Lonchura striata: one gene and its partner. The protein of the gene in region 2 interacts with the protein of the main gene of each other region in a pairwise test. Links are inferred from orthologs where the notes say so. Each region holds a gene or a part of one and is shown on either strand. Other genes may lie near its edges.

Region 1 (7,860 bases), on a different chromosome or scaffold from region 2:
GATGTACAAGTGAAAATGCACATTAGACAAAAAAAATTTAAAAATATGCTAACAAAATTTAGGGAGCAGAATTAAAAAAATTACAGTGAGAGCCCTTTTATGGATAGTAAGGTAACTATTTAGCTCTGTGTTAACTTTCTGTGTCATATGAGAAGCAAGCTTTGTAGACTGAAATGCTTTTTTTTTTTTATTAGACTAGCTAATAAAGTTGGAAAAGTGAGCGTACAAACATTTCAGGTCTTGTGTAAACACCTCACATACATGAAAGCTTCTCAACATGCATTCTCAACACAGCATAACTAATACTACGTTTCATTCTACAAAGCCTCGCATCTTCCAATAATGTTAAGTACAAAATATTTGCAAGAGGAAGACATAATCTGTTTCTTTAAGTGAGGTCAATTGGTGTCATATTGTTACAACTTTGACTATTTGTTTCCTAAGACTCATGCTAAAGTGGTAATTATGAAATAAAGGGTATACCTTTATTGCCATGAAGCTCATTTCTAATTGCCACTTTCATCTGCTGAAATTCTTGTAACTTTATATCTTCTTCTGTTAGCAGATACCGCTTCCCTGCCATAAGAAAAAAAGAGGAAGGTAGAGTTTTATGTTACATTGTTTGATTTATTAGTACAGAACCTAGCATGTATGAATTACAGACAACTGTGCAATGCCAGACCATTGGGATAGAACACTATACAAAACCTGCAGTTACTCACATCACTGACAAAAGAACCCAAATAATATGTCACAGCTTTCCAGAGCTTATGTGTACAAGGATGAAGGATCTAGTTCTTGGATGTGCAAAAGAAAAACTAGAGACCACATTCCTCTACACCAAGCCAAAGTACAAGAAGATTCCGCAAAAAATTCCTGCTCCCTCCTTTACACTTTCATAAGGATTTGTCTTCTTTTCCTTTGTATTCCACAATTCACTAATGGCACAACTTGCTTATCCCACAGGTGCTGCTCTTGCTACTATAAAATGAAACATTCTGGAAGTTCTAAATGCAGCAGAAAGTCACAAGAAGCTTGTTTTTTTAATCTATAAAACAAACAAGTGTATTATTTGGATTGCAACACTCTGGAGACCTAGTAATGTTCTGCTGCAGTACAGACATCAGAGGTAAGACAGTCACTGAGTCTAGAATGTCAAAATTAACTTTGGGTGCTGACTTCAACTGTACTGTGTTGCAAGCTGCTTTAAAACAAGCATCATGCAAAAGCTATTTGACAACTTTTTGCTGTCACAAAAACAGGTGTCCAGATGATTTTTATTTGCAACTACTGACTTTGTAACAGAGAGTCACAATAACAGCTTACAATCTAATATTTTAAGGTTTTGGCTTATAAGGAATTATTCTAACCATGAAAGCTTAAGAGTAAGTACTGAACTGAGTAAGGTTGTTTATTCTCATTCTGCATATCCCTTGGAAAACGTAACTGGCCATATAAATAAAAACACTTGTTTTCTAAGCAAGTGAAGCATGATAACGACACGCTTCATAAAATCTGAAAAAAAAATCCATTAAATGGCACATTTATCCATTAAATTTAATTGAAACAGTTCCAAGGGACAAACAAATACATTTTATTCAGCATGAAACTGACCTGTATTACACTGCCATTTCCTTTCCACAGATCTCTGTTGGTCTACCACTGAAAGACCATTGTAAAGGGCCTCTTCAAAGCTGGTGCAGAAATTTTGCTTGTGCTTGGGGTGGGACTGGTGCACCACACATCATGGACTCTCAGTGGTCAGTGTCAATACAGAGATTAGGGCAGCATAATTTTATCTTTCTTGAATTCAATTTTCTGAATTGTACTGCTTCCTTAGACTCATACCTTAGAGTGTTACAGAAATGTTTCAAAACCATAGGGTCTGCCAAGGAAAAGGAGGGAGATGAGTATGAGAGCTAGCATATGCAGGTGGTGCAAACTATTCCAGAGAACTTGACCAAGCTGCTTAGGGTCAGGCACACTGCAACCCTCTAAATGGCAGTCCCTGAAGGGGATGGGCAGAACACCACTCAGAGAAAGTGGTCTCCATGTCTCTGAGGGATATAACAGAGGTGTAACCTGAGCACTGCTGGCACAGCAGGACAAAGAGCCCAGCCAGGGCCCAGGCTGGGGAGCCCTCTGCCATGCACCTCTTTTCCATGTGTCCCTTCTTCCTTATCTCTGAAACCCAGGTCTGGATAAGGCTGTCGTCCTCCCAGAATAAATAGACATTTATGTTCTTTTTTTTTTTTTTTTTTTAATGTCATATCCTGAGAGTAGCAAGCAGGGGATATGCTGATTAACACTGATCTCTTGGGTGACCCTAGGGCAGCCTTTCAGTGGGGCCTGCAACAGCTGGAGTGGAACGGGCACAAGGGCGTGCAGTGCTAGGACACGTGGGAAAAGCCTTCGACTAGAAAGGCTTTGATTAGAGAATAGGTTTAGGTAGCATATGAAGAAGGAATTCTTTACTGGGAGGGTGGAAGACAGTGGAATAAGGTGCTTCGAGAAGCTGTGGATCTAGCATTCCTGGACACGCTCGGGGCCAGGCCGGATGGGGCTCTCAGCAACGGGGTCTAGCGGAAGGTGTCCCCATGGCACGCAGTGGATGATATTTAAGGTCCCTTCCAACCCAGGCCATTACGTGACTGCTGCACCGATTCTGTGATGTCCCTCCCCGGAGGGCACCCCTGCCGCCAGCTCGGCCTGTCCACCGCAGCACAATCCGCCACAGCACGCCGCGCCGAGCGGGGCATCCGCGCAGAACTACAGCTCCCGTCGGGCACAGAGCCGGCAGCGCGGGCGGGCCTGCCCGGAGCTGCAGTACCCCGCTAGCCCCGCGCCCCGGCCGCGCATCCCGCCGCCCACCCCCGCCGCACAAGCCGCGGTACCTCCGGGAGCGCAGCCCCAGCCGCCCGCGGCGGGCGGCCGGACCGCCGAGCGCCGCGCCGCCTGCCGCGCCGCCCGCCCGGAGCCGCCCGCCAGCACCGCCGCCATCGCCGGCCGGGCCGAGGGGCGGGGCGCCCGCAGCCGGCCCCGCTCCGCCGCCCGCCGCCGGCCCCGCTCCGCCGCCCGCCTCCTCCGGCCTCGGCGCCATGGCCGCCCCCGGGCTCCGGCGCGCCGTGCTCTGCAGCGGGAGCGCCCTCGGCGCGGCCCCAGGTCGGTGCGCTGCTGGCGGGGCGGGGGGCGCGGCGCGGCCGCGCTGGTCGCCGCATGAGCAAGGACGGGCTGTTGCGTAGGGACTTGACTCACCTTTCCCTCCTCGTCTCCTGCTATGTGCATGTGTGGAGTTGGGGGTAGCTCAGAAGAGGTTTAATGGCTAGTATGTAGAGGGGGAGGCCGTTCGCAGTTCGTTTTTTTAATAGGCAATGGATTTCATAGCTCGAGCTGCCTTTCTGGGTTAGGGCAAGCCACGCGGGATGGCGCGGGAGGCCGCCAGACCCGCGGCGGTGCGCGCTTAGGAAAACTGGTACCGGCGGTGACAGAGGCCGCCGAGCCGATGTTTCGGGAAAGCGAAGACCGGGCCGCCGGGCAGAGCTGGCCCGGCGGGCTGCGGGCGGTGCGCGCTCGCCGGGCTCGTGTTCAGCGGCACCGCGGCCTGCGCCTCGGAACTGCCCGGAACGCCTCGTGATGGCTAGCGGCCTCCTTAGCTGTCAGTGAATGAATGCCTTTTTGTCTGTGAAGGGAAAAATAGACAATAAAAAACCCAAAGCCCGCCACACCAACCCCCCCGATTTTTTTATATGTCTCTTCTATCAACGTAATTAAAAAGACTGCTAAAGGAAGTGCCACAAACCAGAAATACTTTTTTTTTTTTAATTATTATTATTATTCTGTTTGGTATAGTGTTATACATATTTTTGAAGTCTGGAAGTCTGTGTTCTGAATCTTCCTTTGATAGTTTCATGAGATGTTCAGTGCAGGATGTGTGGGTATATTGTGTGTCAGAAGGGTGATAAGAAGGAAGAATTGTTTCACAAGGGAAACTTTTAGTGCTAGCAGATAGGTATTTCGGTACAGGCTTTGAAGTAGTTGCTAAGACTTCTATATAGCATTGTAGCATCTCTTTTTAAAATATTCTTATTTCATGACATTATTTCCTGTGATTTTTCTGCATGTATTTCTCTATCTTCCTTCAGTGAGTTTTATCCAGGTGTTCCTCATGCATTTTCAAGACCTCATCATCTATGACTGATACACAAATTCTTCCAGCTGAAGCATTTTCTGTTTTGTTTCAAAAGCTAGCACAGCATCTTGAGCAGTGGTACAAAGAATGTTTGGAAAAAGCTTACAAATATATTTCAGTGAGTCTGTAGTTCATAGGATATGGAAGAGTGGCGATTATAAAAATGAAAGTATTTTCAGTGAGACATGCCTTTATAGGTGGAAATAACCATTCAGCAACAACAGAAAAGCATGTTTGTGTGGTTTTTATTTTTGCTTATGTTTTTAACCTACATTTAGCTAATTGCTAACATTTGATGAAGAAGGTTTGTGTGCACAAAGAAGTTGCTTTTATTGTTGAGGTTTTTTCTACCTTTACAAATCTGTTATTTTCTTAAATACAAAGTTTAGGTTTGGAAATACATGTTTCATGCTGAAAAAAAGCTTTTGGGGAAAGCTTTTCAGTTTTAAATATTACAACATAATAGTTGATCCACATACAAAGAATCTGAATTGTTACATTAATAGTTGTGGCATAAAGACAGTTTAATGCATTCCACTTGGCAAATATGACAGAAGAAGGTGGTACCTAATAAAATGTTTGTTTAGAGTTGTGTAAGCAACCCAGCTTACATAGTGATTTCTCTGCTCATTAGGTCGAAGATCTCTTCTTTCTTCAGCCTATGTGGACAGCTCAAAATGGGAAAAAAGAAAAAAAGAGGAGCATAATCCTGGTGAGAAAAGTTTGTTTCTTGTCTCCACTTTGTCTAATTAATTACAACCTGAGCTCATTTTGGGCTACCTTATTATTTGTAAATCCTTCAAAATAAAAAATGGTGTGAAACAATGTTTCTGAGCTTCTGTGTCAAAAAGCACTCAACATGTTAAAAATTTGCCATATGTATTCAAGGCCATGGTGCAGAAACAAATTAGAATTCCCCTGCTTACTTAAGGTTTAGTTTATATGAGCTGATTTTTTTTCTTTCACGGAATTCAAAGTGTATGACTATCTCTGACTGATGTCATTGACATTGTTTTAACGGTATTGCAGTGTGAAAAAAAGGTATTCTGGTAATGATCTAAGTATTATAGGACAATCAAAAATGATCTGAGTATTACAGGACAATTAAATTTAAAAACATTTGTTTAAAGAGGAAATTTTCCTCAGGGTTTTACAGTTTCTTCTTGAATTATAGAGGTTTTTTTAGGAGGGAGTAGGGAATGAAGCTAAACTTTTTATTTTCAAGAGGTTACATGTTAAAGTGTATCTTTACATGGTGCTGAGATCTCCTGTGCAAATTTTATAGCTAAATTATTTAAATAGATTGCATTTGAAATTAAATTCCACTGCCTTTTTGGTGTTAAGGGCAAAGCATTTTTCTGTGCTAAAGATGGATTTTTTTTTAAAATTTTGCACCACAGGTGTTTTGGGGACTCCTTTATTCATGGTCTGTTTTCATTACTAGGCCCCTGAACTGTGGTTGTTACTTGCAAAACAGATTATGGGGCTGAAAAAAGAATCATCAGGTGAAATTCAAGGGCTTTTGTCAGGCAGGACAGACAGAATGATCAGACTGATGTTTTTTATGCACTAATTTATTTTTTTTATTTGCCAATGAACATTTAGGTGGGAATTGTCAATGTGTACTGTACACGGGTGAGAAACTGGTGGATCTTTATGTATGTAGCTTGGATCCTGCAGAGACTGTTAATACCTTGTAACACTTTGCTATCAATAGGACTGCTCATGCTGTGTCTTTTGGGCTGGAGCCACAGATTTATGCCCTGGGATACATTTGAACTAGTCATCTCTAGGTGAAAATGCGTTCTTAATTTGGCAATTGTCATAGCCAGTAGAAATCTACTGTAGAAAAACCACTGTTGTGCCTGTGCTGGTACAGTCCCTGTTTGGCTTTCTCCAGGCCTGGCAGGACCTTCTGTGACTGTTTGGCAGGCACAGTTCTTGCTACTCCTCTGCTGATGGTCTTGAGCCAGAGCAGATGTCTATTCCATGATTTTCAAATAACTGCTTTGCATTTTTATTTTGTGTTCACAGAAAAGAGAAAACAAGTTAGCACGGTGTCAGCTGTATTAGCATTTTCAGAGAGGAGACAGTCCTGCAGACGTCTGCTCTGTAGCTCTCAGTTGTCTGGTTGCACATATAAACTTGTATGTACTGGCTGGTGATTATAGCTGAGTGAGTTCCTTGTGTTGAGGAAATGCTCTTTTATTTCTGTGTTTCAGAACAGACACTGTTTTAGAACTGTTGTTATGCAAAACTATGTTGTGAGGATACTTTTAAAGGCAAAATAAGTATAGAACTGTTGTTATGCAAAACTATGTTGTGAGGATACTTTTAAAGGCAAAATAAGTATATTTTGATTTAAAGTCAGTTCCATTTCTCTGCTGCAGTGATGTACTATCCCAGATACTCGTTTACTGTGTCCATGTAAGATATGATTTATTGTCTTCACTGTAACCTCAGTTTAGAATCCAGATACGAATGAGTTTAGCAAACTTCACTACTGAAAAATGTATGGGAAAAAGCATGACTGTATTTTTGTACCAAAATGCCTTTAGTAAAGGAGATAACACATTTTCAATTCCTAACTTGGAATCTGCAATTTACTTGTTGGTACGAAGATGCCTGCCTAGAAGTAATATGGATTCCATTTATTAAAAATTATGTAAAAAGGCACCCAGAATCCCAGGGGATGGCAGAATCCAGGTGATATAGGAAATTTCTTTTTTTTTTTTGTTACAAAGATTCACAGTGCCTAAATTGGCTCATCTGCAACACCAGGTGGCAGTGCTGCCCTTACAAACATAAATAATTTCCATTCAAAGCCTTGTAAAGTAAAAAGTTGCTGTTCTTTCCAGCTATGTGGATACAGAGTTAAATGTGGAACATATAAATTTGTAAGGTAAAATACTTGTCTCGGCCTTTATATTTTAGTTAAAAAAAAAAAAAAATTAAAACACGCCTTTCTTTATAGCACCAGTTAGCCTGTGAATTAAGGTATTAGCTCTGCCCATCACTCTCAGGACAGGTATCAGTTTTGTCATCATTTCCCACCACTGGATCAGACTTCTGTCTTGAGTGAACCATTTCTAAGAATACAAGGGTGTTAGTAGAATAAAAGTGACCTTATATGGTGGCCAAATGTGCCCCATATTGATAATGTGCTGCTTGTTGGTGTGGCTACATTCTGTGGACAGGTACACACTGTGAATCAAACTGAAACTATGTTGATTTCCTAGGCCACCAAACTGGTATTAGAAGTTATAGCCACTGATTTGGAAGGTGAGGATCAGTATTTTCTGAGCCACCCTGTTGCAGGCAACAAGATACTGAGTTTCTATGAAGAAATGAAAATAAAAGTGAACATGAGAATACACGATAATGTATATCAGTGTATATAAGACCTCTGTGAAGGTCATGGCCTGAAATTAAATTACTTAAGCTTATACTTATGGCTTGTTTTGTTAATTTCATTAGTTCTTGAATATGCAGTAATACATTTTTAGAGAAATTGAATTTATGGAGAAATGTATTTATGTAGAAATATATTTTTAGGCAGCATATATGAGAGATTTTATAGACTAGTGTGTTTTTTGATGAGTCAGACAAAAGCATTTGCAGTATGTATCTGTTAAAATGTACATAGAATTCTGATTTGGCCATTAAAATAT
Region 2 (7,193 bases):
GGGCACTCCAGGACCTCTCGCAGCGCGTCCGAGTTGAGATACGGGGCGGCAGCCATGGTGCTCCAAGGCAGCTTTATCCAGCACAGTGCCTTGTGCTCACATCTATTCCAAGGTGCTCCGATTCTGTCCAGGAAGAAAAAAGGGAAATGTGATTTATGTCACCACCAGCAGTTATGTATACATGCAATTTATTTCTGACTTATCGCCTAACCCTGCAGAAAAAGAAACCCAGTTAGCTTTTCCACGTTGGGAAGGATGGATTAGTCATAGCTAATCTCAGGGTGGGCAAACTTCAAAACTAACTTGCAGCTCCCAGTGCGATGAATTATTCACTTGCAAAATTTGTAAAGTAGCACTGAAAGAAGTGTAATGGCACCAATATGGAAGCCCAGTAGATATTGATGACTGAATCATCTCCTCATGGCGCCCATCTCCTGCTGCCAAGCCTCCGAGTTTACATAATTTACTGAAACCCAGGGAGATTAAACCAGGCATTCAAAATGTTGCACATCAAAGGAGGAACCAGATGGTGCGATGCTTTAGGACATTAATAGATCACCTCTGGAGACCTGAATTCAGATGTGACATCAGATACCAACAAAATAAATGTGCTCAGTTCACCCTGCTTTGCTAGAGAGCCAAAACACATTTTCGAGATTTCATACATTTGCCAGGAAGTGAAAGTAGCAGGAATGCTCTGTCAACTTCCACTAGTTCTGGGAGTGACTGTGCACGCTGAAAACACACAGAGAAGGTTTGATGGCAGTGCATCTCAGTAACCTCTGCCATGCTGCACCATGCTTCATGGCAATTAAACACAGCTCAGGCAGGTATTAGCAACAATGGAGTTAACAGACAACTCCAAACATCTGAACTCCAAACATACTCCCAGTGTTCACTATTAGCTCCTGAACTCAGCTTAACTGCGTTTAATTTCTCCTCGTTTCACAATCTCGCAACGCTGACCTCGTTCTTGTCCCCTGGTTCAGTTTTACACCACTCTGGTTGCTGTTCAGCTTCAATCCAGGTTTCTCCACCCTCACATCCCTCCCAGCAGGGAGCAGATCCCAGCAGCTCTCCTGCCAAAGCAGCCATCCATTCAAAAGGAACAGAACAGGGCTCACATCATTAAGTTATTATTCACTAGACTGGGTTTCAAATCCTTTGTTATTGTACTGCTTAGCCACTAAAAAATAGGGAAGAAAACCTTTCTTCTAGGGAAGAGGAGGAGGAGAAGGAAGTAGTTAAGTCTTTGAAATGAAGACACAGTGGCAGAGAGATGTGAACACACAGCTCTGAGAAATGGCTGCATGGACACAGCATTCTCACTTCCCTGCTGGCTCTGCTGCCTTTCTCTTTGGGAAAAATTCTGTGTATTTCAGTTTGCTGTGTGCTCCTCTGCCGGAAAACAACTGCAATGAAGAAAAGATCTTTATGCTCATACAGAAAAGAAAGAAAGCCCCCTAATTTTAATTTGTCAGCTGCAGTTCAGAATCCTTTAAAGGCTGTATTTCAGGAAGGGATTCAGTGGTGTGGCAGAATCTCCAGGCACCATGCTGGGCTCAGCTCGACAGTGGCAAGTTGAGTAGCACGGCCCTGGCCCCAGGGAAGCAGAAACCTGGGCACTGCCATGGAGAACAGAAACCTTCCTCCGAGGCAGGAAAAATCTGTGATTTAAAATTATTTTAAAAAATGAACACAGGATACCAGGTTCATTATTCTTACTTTCCTTGGAAACACGTCAAAAGACTTGCTTAGGGAAGGACGAGGGAGTAGCAGAGGCACCAAGTACTAAGAGTTATATTAAAAGCTACCTTTAAAACAAGTATTTTCATTTAAGAAGAATGTAGATGGATTCTAAGTCAGGTTGGGCTTTTAGAGAGCTGTTTTTTATGACATTCTTTTCATGTATAACCCCCTTTATCAGAATGTCAGCGTGCCCTCAGTAACGGGACATTATTTTTCCTTTTATCTCCCTCTCACACTCGACTGTGCCTCCATGGAAGTTTCCTTAACAGCGAGTTGTTCTTGCGTGTCGGTCCCTCCCGGGGCAGCTCCTCTGACGCAGAGCAGGGTGTTACAGAAAGCCTCAGCTGAGGATCAAGCCCATAAAACCGTGAATTATGCGAGTTCGGCTTCCTTACATTCGAAAGAAATTTCCTGCCGTGGTTTCTGTTAGCCGGTGTGTCTGCGGTGAGAACACCGGCTTCACTTGTGATTCAGAGCTGGTGTCATTAATGAGGGAAAATAGTGGGGTAATGCTGCAAAAGGAGTTATCACAACAACAAAACAAACAGGCCAGACCCTGGGTTTGGGGGTGGGGGTTTCAGTGAGAAATGCAAGGATTTGGGGGGGTTTAACTGAGAAATGCAAGGGTTTGCAGGGTTTCAGTGAGAAATGCAAGGGTTTGTGGGGTTTCAGTGAGAAATCCAAGGGTTTGGGGGGGTTCAGTGAGAAATGCAAGGGTTTGCGGGGTTTCAGTGAGAAATGCAAGGGTTTGGGGGGGTTTTCAGTGAGAAATGCAAGGGTTTGAGGGGGGTTTCAGTAAGAAATCCAAGGATTTGAGGGGGGTTCAGTGAGAAATGCAAGGATTTGGGGGGGTTTAACTGAGAAAGGCAAGGGTTTGCGGGGTTTCAGTGAGAAATCCAAGGGTTTGTTGGGGTTCAGTGAGAAATGCAAGGGTTGGTTGGAAGGACCTTTACGATGCCCTGGCTGCAGCCCTGCCATGGGCGGGGAACGCGTCCCGCCAGCCAGGCTGCTCCGGCCCGGGCACGTCAGGGGCCGCTGCCTGCCCCGGTGTGCCCACAGAGCCCACGCCCAGCTCCGCCATGGCCGTGGGGTCCACGGCAGCGGGGCGGGCGCGGCCCCGTGGCCCTTTCCATCCCCTCCATGCCGTTCCCATCCCACCCCATCCCATCTTGTCCCGCCCGTCCCCTCACGCCGCCCGCCCGGGGGTCCCGCCGTGCCCGCCCCGCCCTGCAGGGGGCGCCGCCGCCGCCGCCCCGCGCGCGCTCCTCACCTGCCGCCGCTCCGGGCCGCGCCGCTCCCGGCGTGCGCCGCGCGCCGCGCCTCACGTGGGCGCGCCCGCGGGGCCTGCCGGGAGATGTAGTCCCGCGGGGGCTGTGGCTGAGGGCAGGACCTCGGTCTGCCGGGCCCGTGCTGCGGCTCGGTGTGAAAGGAAACGTTAAAAGTAACGAGGGGAAAGCAGGAACGTCTTTTCGGATTTGGTTTTTTTTTTTTTTTTTTTTTTTTTTTTTTTTTTTTTTTTTTGTGTGTGTTTTCGTTTTTATTTTTTTTTTAAATTCGTTGTTATGTGTCATTTTGGCACGCGTGGGTTGCTCACTGCCCTTTCCCTGATCACGCACTGATGCTGTGGGATCAGCCCCTTCCCCTTCTCTTTCACCTTCCCTTTCCCCTTTCCCTTCCTTTCTCCTTTCGCTACTCTTCTCCTTTCCCTTTTTCATTTCCCTTGCCTTGCTTGCCTTGAATTCCCTTCTCTTCCTTTCCCTCCCATTTCCCCCTCCCCTTTTCCCTTTTCCTCTCCCTTTCCCTTCCCCCAGCAGGTTCCTGAGTGTTTGACAGGTTTTGCATCACCTCCTGAAAACGTGTGCTTCTCCTTTGATGCCGTACCTGTGATCAGCCTGTGGACTCCAGGACCAAAATCACTATTTTTGGGCACAGCTGCAGCGTGAGAGGCTGGCAGTGGTGGCCAGAGTCAGGGATTTGGCCACTGGCCTATGGCTGGGCTCTGCCCCGTGTTTCCCGGAGCCAGTATCACCATCAGGAGCACCGACCCCGTTCTAACCCCATTTTTGCTTGGATGTCATGGATCTGTTTAGGGGTGGCAGAGAGCCCCTTCTGCTGTGCCCCTGTGGGGCTGCAGAGCGAACTGAGGAGTGCCAGGGCTCGGGGCTCCCTGTGCCGGGGGGGAACAGTGTCCTTCACACCCCCAGTGCCACAGGCAGCATCCCCTGGAGGTCAGGCTGGCAGGAATTCTCTGCCTGGGGAAGAGGCGAGTGCTCAGTTTAACCATTTCCCAAATTCCCTCCGCGTGGCCTCTCTGCCTGCGGCGCTTTTCCACTGCTCACCTGCTGCAGCCGCCCGACCTGCGCTGAAGAAAGTGCCTGCATCATGCAGCAAGTCTGGCCACCTTCTGCTCTTGGTGGTTTTTCCACTTTGTTTAGAAAACAACAGATCATTCAGATGGGATCTATGTCCCTGGAGCAGCAGGGAGCAGCAGTGTGGGCAGTGGATGCACGCAGATGCAAAGCAAAGAAAACGAGTGAGATTTCCTCAGTGCCCTGTTTCAAACCCCAGTGGCTCCCTGGGTGTGTTGCTGTGCCCAGGGAGGGGACACAGGGTTCACTCCCAGTTCCTGCCCTCACCAGGGAAATGCTTTTTTCAGTCCCTGATGTAGAATGGATGTAAACACTGAAACCAGGGTGGTCTGGCAGAACTTGTGAGGCCACCCACACCTGAAAATGAACAGTGTGAGGAAAAAACAATGGTAGAAATAGGAAATAATCTTTCAATGCATCCTGGGGAGTAAACAAAGGACTCTCTGGATTTAATTAGAGGTGACAATGACCAGCTGACGATGTTATCCATCATGTGTGAGTATGGGGACCCTACATGACAAGGAAGGATGGGAAGGTTGTCCAGCCCAGGACCCTGGTCACCCTGCCGAAGTTCCTTTGCCAAAGCTATGTTATAGGGGATACTCTCAAAATCCCCTTCTATAGAGGGTTATCAGAGGTCTCTAAGAGCTCTTTTTTCTTAATACCTCAGGCTTGCAAGTGTGCAAATGTCTCATCTGAAGCTGAGGTGAGATCCTGCAGGCACAAGAGATGATCTGCCCCCAGATTCTCTTTGCTGGTGATGCCTCAGGTTTTAGCTGTTCTGTTTTTCAGATTCTGCTTTAGTGCAGTTCTGAGCTTCATATGAGGGGATGCTGAGCTCTGTGCACAGAGCAGGGAGACAAAACAATTCCTTTTCCAGCTGGACACCAAGGACAAATGATCCAAACCTCAGCCCAGGAGCACAAACACCGTGGGCTGCAGAGAGAAAAACAAGCAGGGTGGGACTGCCTGGGCTGAAGCTGGAATGGGACAATGAACTCCAAGGTGCCAATGGAGCAGAACTGATCCCAGGGAGAGCCCCGGGAGCGCTCGTGCATTTTGGGACCATTTTGGGTCATTTGGGTGCAGCCCTGGCTGGGCTCTGGTGCTGCCCAAGGTGGATCCATGGAGGAGATGCTTTGAATAAATCCCTGCTTTCTTCTTTAACTCCCTGTTCTGGACAGCCTTCTCAAGGGGATATCTTTGGGGTCATCCCTGGGCAGTGAGGCTGTGGCAGCCTGGGGGTCACACACACCACCAGTCACAAGCACGGGGGTGCAACTCTCTGTTCACACCTTGGTGTTGGATGTCAGGATTGTGTTTAATTGAGTTTGGTTAATCAGTTGGGAGCAGAAGGCACAGCGTCATCAGGGAGAGGGGGTGTGAAGGGCAGAGGCAGTGTGGGCATAAAAGTACTCTTCACCAGGGACTGTGGTGACAGGATGAGGAGTTATGGGTACACACTGAAACAGGGTAACGTGGATTAGATATTGAGAAGTTTATTGCTATGAGGATGGTGAGGCAATGGCAGAGGTTGCCCAGGGAGCTTGTGGTTGCTCCATCCCTGGATGTGCTCAAAGCAAGGTTGGATGGGGCTTGGAGCAACCTGGTTTAATGGGACACATCCCTTCCCCTGGCACAGGATTGCAACGGGATGATGTTTAAGGTCCACTCCAGCCCCTTCACTTTCTATAAATAGGAGATTAAAAGAGGTCACAGAGCCACACTCTCAGGAGTTTATCAAGCACCGACACCCAGGGGATGTTACACATTGGCTGTGCCACACTCCCCTCACCGAGGCTGGGATGAGGATGGAAGGATGAGACCCCACGGATGGTGTGGAGGGGCTGCGGGGCGAGGGCGGTGGGATGTGTGGGATGGTGTGCCCACGCCGGGATGGTGTGCCAAGCCTGGGATGGTGTGCTGCACCCTGGGATGGTGTGCCCAGAACAGGGTGGTGTGCATGCCAGGATGGTGTGTCCAGGCTGGGATGGTGTGCCTCTAGCTGGGATGGTGTGCTACATCCTGGGATGGTGTGCCCAGGCCAGGATGGTGTGCATGCTGGGATGGTGTTCCCCACACCGGGATTGTGTCCCCACACCGGGATGCTGTTCCCCATCCCAGGATGGTGTTCCCACGCCAGGATGTGTTCCCCACGCCGGGATGCTGTTCCCCACACTGGGATGTGTTCCCCACGCCGGGATGCTGTTCCCCACGCCGGGATGTGTTCGTCATCCCGGGATGTGTTCCCCACGCCGGGATGATGCCCGCGCCGTCCCGCCGCGGTGCCACGAGAGGGCAGCAGGGCCCCGCGGACCGGCACGGCCGCGCTGCCCCGCCGGGCCGGGACCCGCCGGGAGGGTCCGGCGGCGGCCCCGCATCCCGAGCTCCGCGCTCCCATCCCGAGCTCCGCGCCCGCATCCCGAGCTCCGCGCCCGCATCCCGAGCTCCGCGCTCCCATCCCGAGCTCCGCGCCCGCATCCCGAGCTCCGCGCCCGCATCCCGAGCTCCGCGCCCGCATCCCGAGCTCCGCGCTCCCATCCCGAGCTCCGCGCTCCCATCCCGAGCTCCGCGCTCCCATCCCGAGCTCCGCGCTCCCATCCCGAGCTCCGCGCCCACATCCCGAGCTCCGCGCTCCCATCCCGAGCTCCGCGCTCCCATCCCGCAGCCCCCGGCACGTTGAGCTCCGGGAATGACATTCCCAGCCGGGACTCCTGCCGCGCGTCCCTAAAGGCGCCTCGGGAGTAATCCCGTGCCCAGCCCACGCTGAGCTCCGGGGCTGGGGTGTCGACGGTTGTTTGGTGGTTTGGCTGGGGTCAGCCAAAATTGGAATCTCAGAATGGTTTGGGTTGAGAGGGACCTTAAAGCTCATCTCGTTCCACCCCCTGCCATGGCAGGGACACCTCCCACTATCCCAGATTGCTCCAAGCCTTGTCCAACCTGGCTTTGGGCACTGCCAGGGATCCAGGGGCAGCCACAGCTTCTCTGGGCACCCTGTGCCAGGGCCTGCCCACCCTCACAGGAAAGAATTTCTTCCTGATAACCCATCTAACCCTGCTCTCTGCCAGACATTCC

Evidence for each region.
Region 1: the proteins of TRIM32 (region 2) and PTCD2 interact in binary tests that used the Homo sapiens proteins (3 or more experiments, as listed by UniProt). The two-hybrid records come from large-scale screens. The link is inferred for Lonchura striata from reciprocal best matches to the Homo sapiens genes TRIM32 and PTCD2.

What each region holds. Positions count from the first base shown.
Region 1 is NC_134642.1:15,213,280-15,221,139, forward strand, and holds the start of PTCD2 (pentatricopeptide repeat-containing protein 2, mitochondrial), read right to left. Parts: upstream 3,001-7,860; coding exon 2,895-3,000; intron 2,239-2,894; exon of another isoform or gene 1,615-2,238; intron 577-1,614; coding exon 484-576; intron 1-483. Other genes in the region: MRPS27 (small ribosomal subunit protein mS27), read left to right, coding at 3,099-3,162, 4,824-4,901. UniProt on the Homo sapiens protein: Involved in mitochondrial RNA maturation and mitochondrial respiratory chain function.
Region 2 is NC_134624.1:2,534,002-2,541,194, forward strand, and holds the start of TRIM32 (E3 ubiquitin-protein ligase TRIM32), read right to left. Parts: upstream 3,061-7,193; 5' UTR 3,020-3,060; intron 124-3,019; 5' UTR 57-123; coding exon 1-56. UniProt on the Homo sapiens protein: E3 ubiquitin ligase that plays a role in various biological processes including neural stem cell differentiation, innate immunity, inflammatory resonse and autophagy.